Tribolium castaneum: one gene and its partners. The main gene of each other region encodes a partner of the protein of the gene in region 3 in a complex. Links are inferred from orthologs where the notes say so. Each region holds a gene or a part of one and is shown on either strand. Other genes may lie near its edges.

Region 1 (3,721 bases), on a different chromosome or scaffold from region 3:
GATATTAGCAACTATTTTAAAATTGATTCAGAAAATAATCTCAACAAATATACCGCAGTCTTAATAAATTAGCGACTATTTTATTGCCACAATTTTTCTTGGGTACTCCGTAATTATAATAAAACAATAATATTTATGTTTTAATTAGATTTTTGTAAGCGACCGGTAACATTAATTGTATAAACCCCAAGTAAACTACGCCAATGCACACGCTGTAGCGGACCATTTCATCGATAAATATGAACATCGCGAGAGCGCTACGACGAGTCGGCTGATCGGTTGTGGCCTCATGGCCACCCCCTAAAATTTCCTCACACTGGTAATTACTTACCGGCCTTTAAAAGTTATACCTACCGTATTTTCGAACAGAAGGAGTAACTATTTATCAGTAACAACACAGAAATATTTCTTTATTCTTTATTAATGTTCACTGAAACCACCTAATAAAAGGAAACTTGCCTTAATTAAATAACAAGAAGATAAATTAAGCTTATTTTTCAATGGCGCCCCCATTAGTGCTTGTTTCTTAATCCAGCTGCAAAAAATAATAAATTAATAACACATTACTTACAGGCCTTATGGAATCAGCTAATGCTTCAAAGTGAAGACTTCACAACAGCAACAGTAGCCCAAGCTACCAAACAGAAAGATACAGTTTTCGCAAAATTGTAAATTAAGCAAGAAGATTAAATAATAAACAAGGTGGAAGTTTGGAGTGTTTTATAATTTAAAATTCAGGAACGGACAAATCATGCAGGAACTCGGACAGCCTTCGAGGTGGAGGAGGAGGAGGTGGAGGTGGATTTTCCTCAAGAACACGATCAGCTAACTTATAGATATCTTTCTCTCCTTCAGGTTCGTGCTATTAAAAATAACGTAGTGCAATATTTGCAAAAATAAAAATTAGGTACCATTAGCTGATTGATGTAATATTCATAAGGCACAGTTTGAGTGTGTGGGTCTATGGCTATTTCCAGCATTTCGTCGAGTTCGTCTTGGGTAAAGGGCTCACCATCTTGCGTCATAAGCGTGGAAATGCGTTCCTTTGTTAAAAAACCTTTACCTTCATTATCTAGCACTTGGAACGCTTCTAAAAGTTGCGCGGGACTTGCAGGCTGATACCTGCGAATGAAAATTTCGTTTTTTGGCGATTAAATTTTGGTGATACTTGTGTTCAGTGATGATTTGCGACATGTGGGGTAAAAAATTAGACAAGTGTACACTTCCGGGAGATTCGGGGTTTTCAACAGCCATCAAAATTTCCTGAATTTCTGCCTCAGTGGGGCAACAACCCAAGGCACGTACGATCGTTGCCACTTCTCGAACATCGACTGTTTTGTTACCTGCGTGGTCGAAAACTTCAAACGCGTCGGCAATTCTGCGCTCCAAGTCATTATTAATAGGCACTAAAAAAACGTGTTGGTTTTTTGGAAAAAGACGAGTTTTTGACAAAAACCATGAATTTCTTCTTCTTCGTCTTCCAACATTTTAACAATTTTGATAATCGTTAAGGTTTAAACAGTTGACGGTCTCCTAGCGACAGTTTTGGTTGCTAGGTGATTTGAAGTGTTGGCAGTTGTACCACTTGCATATTTTTTTGGTAAAAATCACCAATAATAATAATTACTCTTAATTAAAAATAACATTAAAAAGTAAAAATGCCATATTTATGTTGCACAAATTACGAATGACAAAAAACAGTGTAAATAAAATAAATACACAAATATTATTCAAATTCTCTTTACCAGGTGATTATTCAAAAATTGCGATTCTTGTCAGGTTGGTGACAAATTTGAAATCTTAATATAACAAGCCACCATGAAGGCCAATAATTCAGTGTTACTAATAGGTTTTTTTGTCACAGTCTTTAATAGTCACTCTGTAGTAGATTCTACTTTGCAGTTTTTCAAGATTTTCCTTTAGTTTCGTTTAAATTTCTTCCAGATTATTCTTTAGCTTTCTGTACTCTTCTTTAGATTATTTTATAAATCCATCTTCTCTAGATTCTTCTTTCAAATCCAAAATTGTTTTATTAACACTTTTACATTTTTTTGACATTATCCAAATTTAAGATTCTTGTCTGCGTCGTTTAAAATTCTTCCAAATTATTTTTTAGTCTGTATTATTATTTTATTTATGTACTTTTTTTTACATTGTTCATAATATTCTTCTAAATTTTTTTGTAGAGGAGACTCTAGGTATCTGTAGATACGTCTTTAGAATTATTTTCTAGACTCTAATCAAAATTATTTTATACACTTTTTTTCAAATATTTTTATCCAAATTTTCTTCTAGATTCTACTCTGTATCTTTCCAAAATTCTTCTACAGTTTCGTATAGAATTTTTCTCTTGAAATAATCTTATTAGGTTATAATCTTCTTTAGGTTACATCTTTAGATTCGGTTATAAATTCTTCTGTAGTTTCCTTTACAATTTTTCCAAATAATTTTTATTAATTCTGTAGTCTTCTCTGGATTTTTTTTTCATATACTTTTCTAATTCTTTTCTTTTCTTTTTTTCCTAAATAAGCCTAATTCTAGATCTGAAATATAGATTCTTCTTTCGATTATTGTATAAATTCACGAATTTTTCACGTTTTTTAAGACAATTATTAGGTCTGCTTTGTTTGAAAATTCCTTTGTACTTTCGTTTCGAATTTTTCTAAATTATTTTTTGGCATTATTTGTTTGTCTACTCTTTTTTAGATTGTTTTTAAAATAAGTCTCAAATATTTTAAAAAATCGTTTCTAAACCTAAAATTGGAACTTTTTAAATTATTTTATAAATCCATCTCCATATACTTCTTTAGAAATTATTTTCTATACTACTCAAAATTATTTTATAAACTCTTTTAATTTTTTTTATCCAAAACCTCTCCTAGATTGCACTCTGCATCTTTTCAAAATTGTCCTACAGTTATGTATAGAATTTTTCTCTCGCAATATATTTTTATTCTTTAGCATTGTTTTTGTACTCTTCTCTAGATTTTTCTTGAGATCCTACTCGAGTTCTTTTTTGAAACCGTTTGTAGATCTGAAATCTGGATTCCTCTTTACATTATTTTAGTAAATCCATCTTTGGATGCGCTATTAAATTCCTCTGTAGTTCCCTTTATAATTTTTAAATTATTCTTTAGCATTGTTTCTGTTCTTTTCTCTGATTCTTTTCTAAATAACCCGTTTGCAGATCTGATGGTTTCTTCTTTAGATTATTCTATAAATCCATCTTTAGATTCGTTCTTCTCTAGATTCTTTACCATTCAAAATTCTTTTTTATGTAAACCTGTTTTTTATACGTTCTCCAATTACTCTTTTAGATTCTATTCTGCTTTGCCTTAAAATTCCTTTGTAGTTTTGTTGAAAATTATTCTAAATTATTTTTTAGAATTATTTCTTTAGATTGTTCTTAAAAGTCCTCTCAAATCTTATGTAACGCCGCCCTGGACATTTTAAATTATTTTATAAATCCATTTCTAGGTATTTATTTAGAAATTATTTTCTAGACTCTACTCGGATTCTTTTTCACTTCTTTAGATTATTTTATAAAATAAATCATTAGATTCGTTTAAAAATTATTCTGTAGTTTTCTTTACAATTTATCCAAAATATTCTATAGCATTGTTCTTCTCTGATTCTTTTCTAAAGTCGTCTCTAAATCTAAAATCTGCATTCTTCTTTGATTATGTTATAACTTATAAGTTAAATCTTCTCTAGATTCTTT
Region 2 (5,139 bases), on a different chromosome or scaffold from region 3:
AACGTGTCCCAGCGAGTTGGAAGAGACTGCTAACCTTCCAAATGTTACAATATTAAAAAAAAGTTGTGTTAAAAAGGCTTCGATACTGACCTATGAGCTTAAATTATTTTCAAGTATATAGAAATTATCTCAAAAATAATTTGTTATCCAAAAAACCCCAAGATCTTTTAGTACTGAAATTGTTGGTAATACTTTCGAATTAAGTTTATACTAGAAGTTGAGGGTACTATCTTTCTGCAGAAATTAATCAGTTGGCATTTATCCGTATTTTTTTTAAGTTTCAAAAACTAGGTAGGTAAAATCATTATTAAAAATGCAAGGAAATATAACGAAATGTTTTATTAAGGAAACTCACCAAGGAAACATATTTTTATCTCAACATATTATGTGATGCAATTAGTATTATGATTTTTTTATAGACTTTTTTGGCATTTTTGTATTTAAGGCTCAATTATATATTTTGTAAAAATGAGTTTTTATTTCAGGACCTCACTAACAATCTCCAAAAAGATTACGAATATGTGGCGAATTACGTAGCTCAGGACAGTGTGCAAAAGGGGTTGGAAATGTATCTGCAATCATTGAAGCAGAAACAGAAATAAGGATATTATAAGTTGATATTCTTTTATATAATGAAGTGTAAAATTTATTATCCAAACCAAGAATATGTGTAAGTACTTTTGTAAAAATAAAGTATATTTTACTATCTTACTTATTCCAAGGCTATAACGTCATCCTTGAGATCAGGCGCGTATTCCTTATTCAAATCCTCAAACTCCTGCCTTTGGATTTCAAGAAAGTGGTTAATTTCCAGCACTTTCCCCCTGTTTCGCTTGATCTCATTCCTACAAGTTGTGGATATTTTTCGGGAAAAGTAAAGGCATAACTTACGTGTTTAAATCGTCGATTAAATCATTTAGCCAATCCTTGGCGTTCGAAATGAGAGTGTCTTCTCTCGCATCGATAATCTGCATGTGCATATCGTGACTTGTTGCCAACGCGTTGTGCAGAAGATCCTTATCTGCCATAAGCTGTAATCTCATTGAAATTATTAATAAAGCAAGTGCCGGAAGTTACCGGTTTAAGAACTGCGGGAACTTCGATTTCCTCATTCAAATTGGCATTTGTTTGAAACTTTGTGGCCAAATCGCCGATATTTTCAGCGTAGCTCACTTCCAGCTCTCTGATCTGCGTAAAGAAAGCCTGCGACGATTCAATGAAATTATTAACGAGTTCTGTGATGTTGTGTTCGAAAGTTTGGTTGACTTCTTCCATTTGTTCGTAAAGTTCCAGTTCCAGTTTCATTAGCGCTTTCCAAACTTCGTGCAACATCTCGTCGTACTCCACCACGAAGACGTCGCATTTGTCGATAAACTCGTCGTAATTTATTTCGTTTGAGTTCAGCTGGTTTTGCACGTTTTTGATTTTGAGGAACAGTATTGCCTTCTTCTCCAGGAAGATCTCCATGTGTTTCTACGGACGAAATTTGGGGCTATAAGTAAATTCGAAAGGGGGCGTACAATGCTTTCGTCTTGATTGTCCTTATTTGCGTCTTCGACGCATTTTAAGAACTGGTCCTGTTCGGTTTTGCGCAGGATGTACTGTTGTTGCCCATTTTCGAATATTTGTTTACACAGTTCGATGAAGTTCTCCTCGTACTCGTCGTAGAATTCTTGCGCGTCTTCGCCGATTTTCATCAAGTTCATGCCGTCGGTGTCGTTGGCAAATAAAGAGTCGAACAAATGGCGAGTGTTTAAATACTCCACGAAACTAGAGGCGTGAAGTTCGGCATCGGCCAACTCTTGTTCCTTTATCGCAGTGATTTCCCGTTCCTTCTCCTCTTTCTCCAACAATGCTCGCAGTTTTGCACTAAAAAACTCTCCTACTGATGTTCACTTAAACAATTTTAGCTAGAAACCTGAAAGTTTCGTGTCCAAGTTCCCGTTCCGACTCGTATATTAATTTATATTCGTAGTAAACGAGTTGTGGCAGAAAAACTGCAATAAATAAACGAAAATCTTCATCCTCGGCACAGGGATTCCCCACTAGATTTAACGATTTTAAATTGCCGAATCGTCGCAAATACAGAATCTATAAAATATTTGTGTATTCTAGAACACAATTATTTTTCGTAATACATTGTCCAAGTCGTCAATTTTGTTTCTTCCAATGCTAAAAACTGTTAATTTTGTTAAAGTGTCCATGTTCTCCAAAACCGTGATTTCGTTATCATACAGACTCAGCTTTTCAAGGTTGCGAAGCTCGTCTAAATTTTCGATTTTAGCTATTTTATTGAATGATAAATTTAGTTCAGTTAAGTTCACCAGACTTTCCAAATTTTCGATTTTTTCCAGTAAATTATTGTTGAGATTTAATTTCGTTAAAGATGTCAGCACCCACAAGTGGTCAATTCTTAAGATATCTACGGATAGGGACACAGAAAGTCGGGTTTAAATTTTACAAGAATTGTTACTCAGAAATTCTAAGCGAATCTCGGTGACGTCTTCAAGGGGGATTTTTTCGATCTCCGCCAAGCGACCCGCTTCACCCTTGGGGCCCTGGTCTTTGATACATTTCTCCAGAAGGGCATTGTCTATTACTTTTGGCTCTTTCAATTTACAAGGATTCATTTTTACAAATTTTCATTAGGCACACTAAATCGATACAAATACCTTTTCAAGCATTCTTGAAATTATTGATGTCACAATGACTGTTGTTTAAGTACCTTATTGTTGCTATGGACTTGAGAAATCATGAATCTTTGAGTTTGCCGAGCTTGTGCTCTTGAGTTTTATTATTTTTCATTGTGAAATTATATCAATTACAAAAAACTCTTTACAGGTAGATTATAACGTCTAAGTAGATAAAAATAGCCCAGAGAGGGTTTTTGGAGTAAAAAAATCTTTACAATTAAGAGTTTGCGAAATTGTAGTCGAGGCGAAGCCGAGTGCTGATACCGCAACTTATAAAAAAATACTCAAAATTGTAAAATTACGTTGTATTCTGTATCAAAGAAGAAATGACAACAGCACAGTTATAAATGCAGAAATGCTCGCTTTGGTAGTATATTACGTGAAAGAACGGAAAAATAACATAAAAAAAGAACTTTAAATTGTGAACCGCACCTCGTATAATTTTTGATCACGTGACACATGTCTGACGTCTTTTTATTCAGAAGTTTACACAACTTGGGAATGAAAAGATCAATAAATTAGAAAAACAGTGACTAACACACCAACAAGCGCGTCATGCAGTTTATTTGTTTGAAATAAAATTGTTATTTTCGTCGGAAAATTTTAGATTTAGGAGCGGAAGTATTGCGCAAGCGCCGCAGTGTTTTCTTGTTTTGACAAGTGACAGTGACAGAAGTCAAGTGACAACAAGAAAGTGCAATCGTGAAATTTAATTTAGAAATAAAAAATGTCTTTTTTTGGAACTGCATTAGGAGGAAATCCCTTTTCGACGCCCGTAGGATCGCGAATTGGTGAGTCCCGCTTGGCATTGCCGGATTTCATTTAATTTTTTTCCGTTGTTAAAATCGATTTAATAAAACGTAAATAGAACTAGAAACCGGTGCTGGCACTGTATTTTATTGTTTAGATTACATTGTTTATCACTTTTGTTGGCTGATTCACCTATATCTATTCATCAGACTGTTTAATTACTGTTTCTGGTAATAATTCTAAGGTACTTCGTCATCGCTGTCTGTGTAGGTGTAGGTTTTTGCATTTACATTTTGTTTGTCACAACTACAGCGTGGTTTTTATTTCGTACCAAATTTGTTTATAATTATTTACCAATAGGTGTGACTTATACTACTCTACATAGGCTATCAACTGAGACGTTTTATGCTTTCTTCACGGGGTCCTATGGAAATTTGTCTATTTAAACCTATTATTAAAAAAATACTTTGCGTTATCGGTACAATAATCTCTTATGTATGTCACAACAGTTAGGAATAATACCGCTGTAGTACCCACATTCTTTGATAATTTTATGGGCAAAACGTAGTTGAAATATTTTTCATCGTTGCTTTAAAATAAATATACATATGTATTTATGCTAATTCAGATCAGTTAATTAATTGGAACTATTTTTGCGCGTTCTTAATCACCTTAGAATAAAAATAACAATATAAATTCTTTTCTATCGCCTATTTACATGAATAATTCAAGTGTAAAATAGAGCAACAAGAATTTTCGAAAATGACCAATAACATAGTAATAATAAGTCCATAAACAATCATTCAACAATGTGTTGTGAGACATTGGTAAATATTTAAGTAATGAACCAGACATATTTTTTTCAGATAAAATTTTAAAATGTTTGGCTAACAAAAAACAACGTCCTCTCCAAAACTTTTCTTTACAATTATTATAATTAATTGTGATTACTGCAGCGTGCACCACATTTATTTAAGTGATTAGATTTAATTATTAAAATGGATGTGAACCTAGTCATTTGGTAAATTAAATTGTACTACAAAATTAATAGTAAAGTTAATTTGTACGTAAAATGTTGCAATAGCATGCAACTGTATGGGCGAGGCATGTGTTACATGTATTACAGTTATGAGTCGGTTTGTAGGTGGATTTTCACAATTTTGTATATTTGGAGGAAAAAAACTCCATTGCCATTTTTAGTTTTTAATTTAGACTAATATGCAATGAAGGAAAAATTGTTAATGAGTATTACGACACCACTCGCTTGATCTTACAAGTCCAATATAGGTAGTAAACTGAGAGCACAATACAAGGCTAAGTGACTTCATCGATTTTAAATTTGCGTGTTGAATAGTTTACTTTAAAGATTACTTCAAAGTTAATAATACTGTTCTAAACCGCCTTGCATAAATATTGCTTTCAAGTGATAAGTTTAGTTGAGAAAATGTACAGTACGGTTAAAAAAATACACGTTAACACAAAATTTGTAACAGTAATTTTTTCTTTGCAACACAAATTTATAAAGGCGAAAACGTCGGATTAAATCTTTAATTTTCCAAAAAATGTTTTCTTATATTTTATAAAATGTCTAAGTTTCCATTGATTCCATGTTCACATTTTTAAATTACTTTCTGAAATTGTCAAATTTTATTTTTATTTTTGTGGGCTTTAGAATGTATCGGATTATAAATTTTTT
Region 3 (5,102 bases):
GTTTTTAAAGCCTTTAGCACATTTATTAGACAAAATCTTAAGTTAAATAACCGTGGAGAAGTTTCTCCCTCCACGAAAATGACAATGTTTTTTCATTATCAAGTATTTAATACATTTTTCAGTCACACTCTCGAAATTTTATAAAAAAATAAACTCAACAATCAACAAAATGGTAAAAGAACAGTTCGAGGAATTGTTTCCGTAGATTTGAAAAAAACAGTTGAAAAATTCATTAATTTGGAGCAAAAGCAATATTTTTTGTTTGTAGCATGTCAGCGAGAAAAATAATTTATTATTTCGCAAAATATTGTTAAACATAAAGAAAAAAATTTCAAAATTTTTCAGTGTTATGATAGCTCTCTAGAAAGTTACACCATTTTTAACTTAAACTTTTTTCGTGTAATTTCGCCAAAACTGGTTAATAATTCTATTCTAGTTCATTTTTGAACCAGTCTCACTTATTTTGCAAAAACATACTAAAAGAAACATTATTACTCGTTTTGAGTAAAAAAATATACGACAAAAAATTGGTAACACAATGGTTATAACTTTGCCATTTTCAAACGAGATATTTAAGCATTTTTATGATTCGGTTGCAACAAACCAAAAAATCACCAAATCGGGGCGAAAGAGACACTGTCATCTTTTCCCAGCTTTTTTCAATCAGAATCTCATATTATTTCGCAAAATTTCAGACAATTTGCCAATTAGTAAAAAACAAACGGTGCTATTTTGTCCATTTCACAAAAAAAAAACCCGTTAATTGACAACTTCATTTGACAACTTATGAAAACAAACCTAGGAAATTTGCCCAAAATAAACGAAAAAATCTCAATTTTATTAAAAAAATTGCTATACTTGCCTTTTTAAAACGATAATATTTTTGATCTAAACATTTTATGATGCAAAGAAAAACAGGAAACTTTCTACACAGTCAAGTTTTGTAATCTGATGAAACCATGGCTTTAGGATTTTTGGTGAAGGATAAGACTAGGTCACAAAAACTCAAATTGAATTTTCTTAAATAAACTTATTTGCGTCCTCATACAAATATGTTAAAATTAAAACATAACCATACGAAACGCAATCACTTCTTACTCGCCAGAATTATACCGTCATATTTCTGCTGGAACCACTTCATGGCGTCTTCTTTCGTCAAACGGTGCGGGAATCCAACCTTCCCTTGTTTCCTCCTCCTGTGGGCGACATTGAAGCCAGGCCGTCCCAAAACGACGTAAAAATCTAAACCGTAGATACCAATACTGGGGTCATACTTGATCCCCAAATCGATGTGTTCCTGGATACCGAAGCCAAAGTTACCTGAAGCTAATTCTCTCATTAGAGCGATTTTCGCGCGATTTGTGCCAAAAAAATACCGGAAAAGTTGTCGCGTCTCAATTCGTACTCGCGCACTTTCAGGCCCCGTTCGAGGATCTCCTCGGCCTTGGCCCCACGGACTGTGCAGTGAACGGCGATCTTTTCGTTACGTCTGATGCCGAAAGACCGGACGGTGTAGCGGGCTTTGGAAAACACGGGCTGTTGCCCCGTCAATTGTTCTAACACCTGCAAGTCGAAAATTACAATCTGGGGGGCGATGCAAAGACACTCACTTTAGCGGCGCGGGTTAACCTATCACCAGACTCTCCGACGCAAATATTTAGGCACAGTTTGCGGATGTGAAGGTCCCTCATCACATTTTTGGACTTGTCCTTCACCTCCCGCTTTTCCTTCTTCGCTCCCTTCGCTACCGGCTGGAAAAAACACAACATTTTTTTTATAGGTTAGACTTGCCCTGTCATAAATAACAACCACAAGGTGAATTTTCGCCCAAATCTACTAAAAAAACAGCAAATGATTGGTTTTAAACGACTCTTTACGTGTTTTTAGGCGAAAAAACTGCCAAAAAATGATTTTTGGAACACATGTCCCTAATCACCAAAAACAAAAAATACGCCCAAAATCACAAAAAAACAATCATTTGACACGCAAATCACTCAATTTCAATCAATTTCACTGATTGTGCAAAACGATGATTAAAGAAATAGAAAATTGAACGAAAAAACAGGAAAACATACCGCCATTGCGAATCTAGAAAGTTGAAAAGACCGTCGGTAAAACAGTTTTCTGAAGCACAATTCTCTCCCGTTGCTATAACAACGTGGCGCTAAATTCAACTTGCTATTTTATTTGATCAATATCAAGAAATGGAAGAGGAAGAAGTGACCGATGAGGAGAATTACGAACCGCAGGTTTTTTCCAAAAACCCCACCGAACGTATTGCCGCCCGCCGGCTCCGCATCCAGCGCCGGGTGGAGGCTTTGCGCAAGTAAGCCCCTTTTTTCTGACTTTTTTTCATTTTGCCAAAATCAGGGCAAAGGAGGCTCAAGAGGCGGCAAAGCTCAACGTTACGCTCGAGCCGGAGGTCACCAAGACGCCCATCGAGATCCAGATTGAGAAGAGCATCGAGCTTTTGGAGAAGCTGGTTCTCGAAGGAGATGAGTATGTTACCAATGTTCGGGTGGCAACGGAGGCTCGGGAGGCCGACAGGCGTGAACGCGAAGGCATAGGGAAGGAAAAGCTGTTGAAGGAGCTCGAAGATGAGGCCGAGGCGGCAGCGGGGATGTTCGAGGAGATTGCAAACAAGTGGGGCGGGATTTTGAAGTATAATGACCCCTTGCATATCAGTGAGGATATCCAGAGTCAGAAGGAGAAGTGCGATGAGCTTATCAGACAGAAGGATAATCTCATTGCTGAGCTGAAGGAGAAGATTCGAAAGGCGGAAATCAATTTTGCGATTGATCAGAGAAAGCAGATCGAGGATGTCAATTCGATTGCACGCAGGATTGAGAATCAGGTCCCTATGACTTAAACGTTTTTATCCTAGATGACTTCATGCACATTTTGCTCTAAAGGTTTTTTCCCAGAATTTCTTTTCCTTCTCATAATTTTTTTCAGGTTTTTTTAGTTTTAGTAGATTGCAATTTTCGTAAACTTAATTTCGTTCATTCATTCATTTATCTACTGTGATTTTTTTGTGTATTTACTTTCCAGTTAATAAGGGGGTTAAGTTATAGCAATTGCTAAACAATTTAAATAAAACAGACGAGTTATTATAATTATTTTTGCAAATTATATTTGCTATAGTTGTATTGTTGGTTGCATACCCAACCAAACGTTTAATTTAGTTTTTCCAAATTTTAGATTATCGTGATGAGGAAGGCGTATCGCCAGGAGTTACAAATGATCGAAGAGGTGATCCTTGCCGAACGCCAAATCCTCATTGAGGCCAATAACAAGAAATGGGAGGAACTGTACAAGAAGCGAGACCAGGAGGAAAAAGCAAACTCCGAGCTCAAATCGGAAGATTACTGGAATTTTGTCAAAGAAATGGACCATTTGAACCGCGACTTTCAAGAACTGTATCGTGCGACCACAATTCAACTAGAAAACGACTGCGACGAGCTCCAGCGTGAGCTGGAAAGAATCAAAACCGATGCGGTTATGAACAGCGAAAAGCTCGACTACAATTACCAGATTTTGAAAAAACGCGAAGACGAGAATCTGATTATTCGGTCGCAACAAAAGCGCCGAATTAACAAGCTTCAGGACGTTATCAACAACTTGCGGAAGAAAAACAACGATTACCACACTCAAACCCATCAACAGATTGACAAACTCACGATCGAGTTGAAAAAACTGACCCAGAATATCCTCGATATTGAGCGGAAAGCTGATCATATAGCTCAGGTTAATGACGAGAAGTTTAAGAAAATCTGGGGTATGAATAAGCAACGGGCCGATCAGCTTTTCAAACGCATCCTCGAGATTGATAAGACTTTGTACGAGCAACAGTTAGGTTTGATTTGGAGCCCTCCTGAGCATAAACTCCCCACGAGAAATGAACTAGACAGTTACAAAACGGCCCTAAATGTTTTGAGCGTTCGCAAATTGAAAAGCAAAAGCGTGATTATGGAAACAGAAGGCGCCCCGAACGTGGAACCTGAAATTCCTGAAGGCGATGACATTGACTATAATAAAAATTATAAAAAAACGTTGAGACATGTCTTGAATTTGGTCGGCGATAAGATGGGGTTTTTGATCGAGGATGACTTACTTGCCATTTTGGAGCCCTATTTAGAGCAGGAACGCACTTTGGTTAAAGTTGATAACGTTTTTGCGGTAGTTTGTTACAGTTAATTGTTTATTTATGTGCAAAAAGAATATTTTAGGCCCTTAATATTAATGATCGTTCCGATATTGACCTACTTCTTGAGTTCTTCCTCCCTTACATGTTCTGTCCCATTTGTAACACAACTTCAGAAAAGCCCATCAATATTGATGAAGAAAGTTTGCTGAATGTTCATGAAATGGATCCTCTGAACGTCTCCCAACTCACTGACAATGATGGTACAGTCACGTTCAAAAAGAATGACACCCTTACCCCTGCCATTTTAGGGGTGTCATTCTTTTTGATCGTGACTGTACTTGGGTACCTAAGGTATTTAAAAAAAAAATTCAAATATGTTTTTTAAGACAGTAGAAGCCGATTAAGTGATACTTATGCCACCGACATGTCTTTGAACGAATACGTGGGGGCGGAGCGTGAAGGGGGGACCAATATAGACGTGGGCCCTTTATCAGTAACCCTTTACGACGATAATTTGAAAGGGGAGTGCAAAGGGCCCGAATTGCGCGAGCGAGAGTAAGCAAATTAAACGAATTATTTGTCACAAAATATTGTTTTTTTACAGTATCAAGGATCAGGACAGTAAAGGGTCGTTTGGTGAAGCTGATAATAAATCAAACGTGCCATGCCAATACCAACACCCACTTGTGATAAGCTCTGTTTACGTTTTGAAAGCTTTGAGAGAGTTTCTGGCCAAATATCACGTCAAGAAGGCCGGGTAAAAATTTGAGTTAGTGATTTTTGGTACTTAAAGTTTTGTAGCATGCCAACAATGTCGGCAAGACTGGCTCATAAACGAAGCACGGTCTCTCGATTGGTGGCACAGGAAGATATCGAGAGTTATTGGACTAAATATACGACGCTTTTTCCGAAAGAAAGGGAACAGTTGTGGGATAGTCTTCTAGCTGGGCTTAAA

The links.
Region 1: dynein regulatory complex protein 1 homolog (region 3) and dynein regulatory complex protein 8 share a complex: the UniProt entries of both Homo sapiens proteins name them as parts of the nexin-dynein regulatory complex. The link is inferred for Tribolium castaneum from reciprocal best matches to the Homo sapiens genes DRC1 and DRC8.
Region 2: dynein regulatory complex protein 1 homolog (region 3) and dynein regulatory complex subunit 3 share a complex: the UniProt entries of both Homo sapiens proteins name them as parts of the nexin-dynein regulatory complex. The link is inferred for Tribolium castaneum from reciprocal best matches to the Homo sapiens genes DRC1 and DRC3.

The regions. Positions count from the first base shown.
Region 1 is NC_087394.1:7,332,333-7,336,053, reverse strand, and holds dynein regulatory complex protein 8, read right to left. Parts: upstream 1,623-3,721; 5' UTR 1,488-1,622; coding exon 1,457-1,487; intron 1,407-1,456; coding exon 1,169-1,406; intron 1,123-1,168; coding exon 912-1,122; intron 863-911; coding exon 728-862; 3' UTR 706-727; downstream 1-705. Other genes in the region: delta(3,5)-Delta(2,4)-dienoyl-CoA isomerase, mitochondrial, read left to right, coding at 574-672. UniProt on the Homo sapiens protein: Component of the nexin-dynein regulatory complex (N-DRC), a key regulator of ciliary/flagellar motility which maintains the alignment and integrity of the distal axoneme and regulates microtubule sliding in motile axonemes.
Region 2 is NC_087394.1:30,245,841-30,250,979, reverse strand, and holds dynein regulatory complex subunit 3, read right to left. Parts: upstream 3,006-5,139; 5' UTR 2,631-3,005; coding exon 2,474-2,630; intron 2,423-2,473; coding exon 2,139-2,422; intron 2,092-2,138; coding exon 1,919-2,091; intron 1,870-1,918; coding exon 1,521-1,869; intron 1,474-1,520; coding exon 1,078-1,473; exon of another isoform or gene 1,032-1,077; coding exon 892-1,031; exon of another isoform or gene 846-891; coding exon 713-845; 3' UTR 621-712; downstream 1-620. Other genes in the region: enoyl-CoA delta isomerase 1, mitochondrial, read left to right, coding at 486-602; TOM1-like protein 2, read left to right, coding at 3,421-3,484. UniProt on the Homo sapiens protein: Component of the nexin-dynein regulatory complex (N-DRC) a key regulator of ciliary/flagellar motility which maintains the alignment and integrity of the distal axoneme and regulates microtubule sliding in motile axonemes.
Region 3 is NC_087399.1:6,863,253-6,868,354, reverse strand, and holds the start of dynein regulatory complex protein 1 homolog, read left to right. Parts: upstream 1-2,120; 5' UTR 2,121-2,204; coding exon 2,205-2,326; intron 2,327-2,370; coding exon 2,371-2,854; intron 2,855-3,201; coding exon 3,202-4,179; intron 4,180-4,229; coding exon 4,230-4,407; intron 4,408-4,533; coding exon 4,534-4,702; intron 4,703-4,751; coding exon 4,752-4,904; intron 4,905-4,948; coding exon 4,949-5,102. Other genes in the region: RpL11 (large ribosomal subunit protein uL5), read right to left, coding at 1,088-1,326, 1,377-1,563, 1,611-1,751, 2,076-2,081. UniProt on the Homo sapiens protein: Component of the nexin-dynein regulatory complex (N-DRC) a key regulator of ciliary/flagellar motility which maintains the alignment and integrity of the distal axoneme and regulates microtubule sliding in motile axonemes.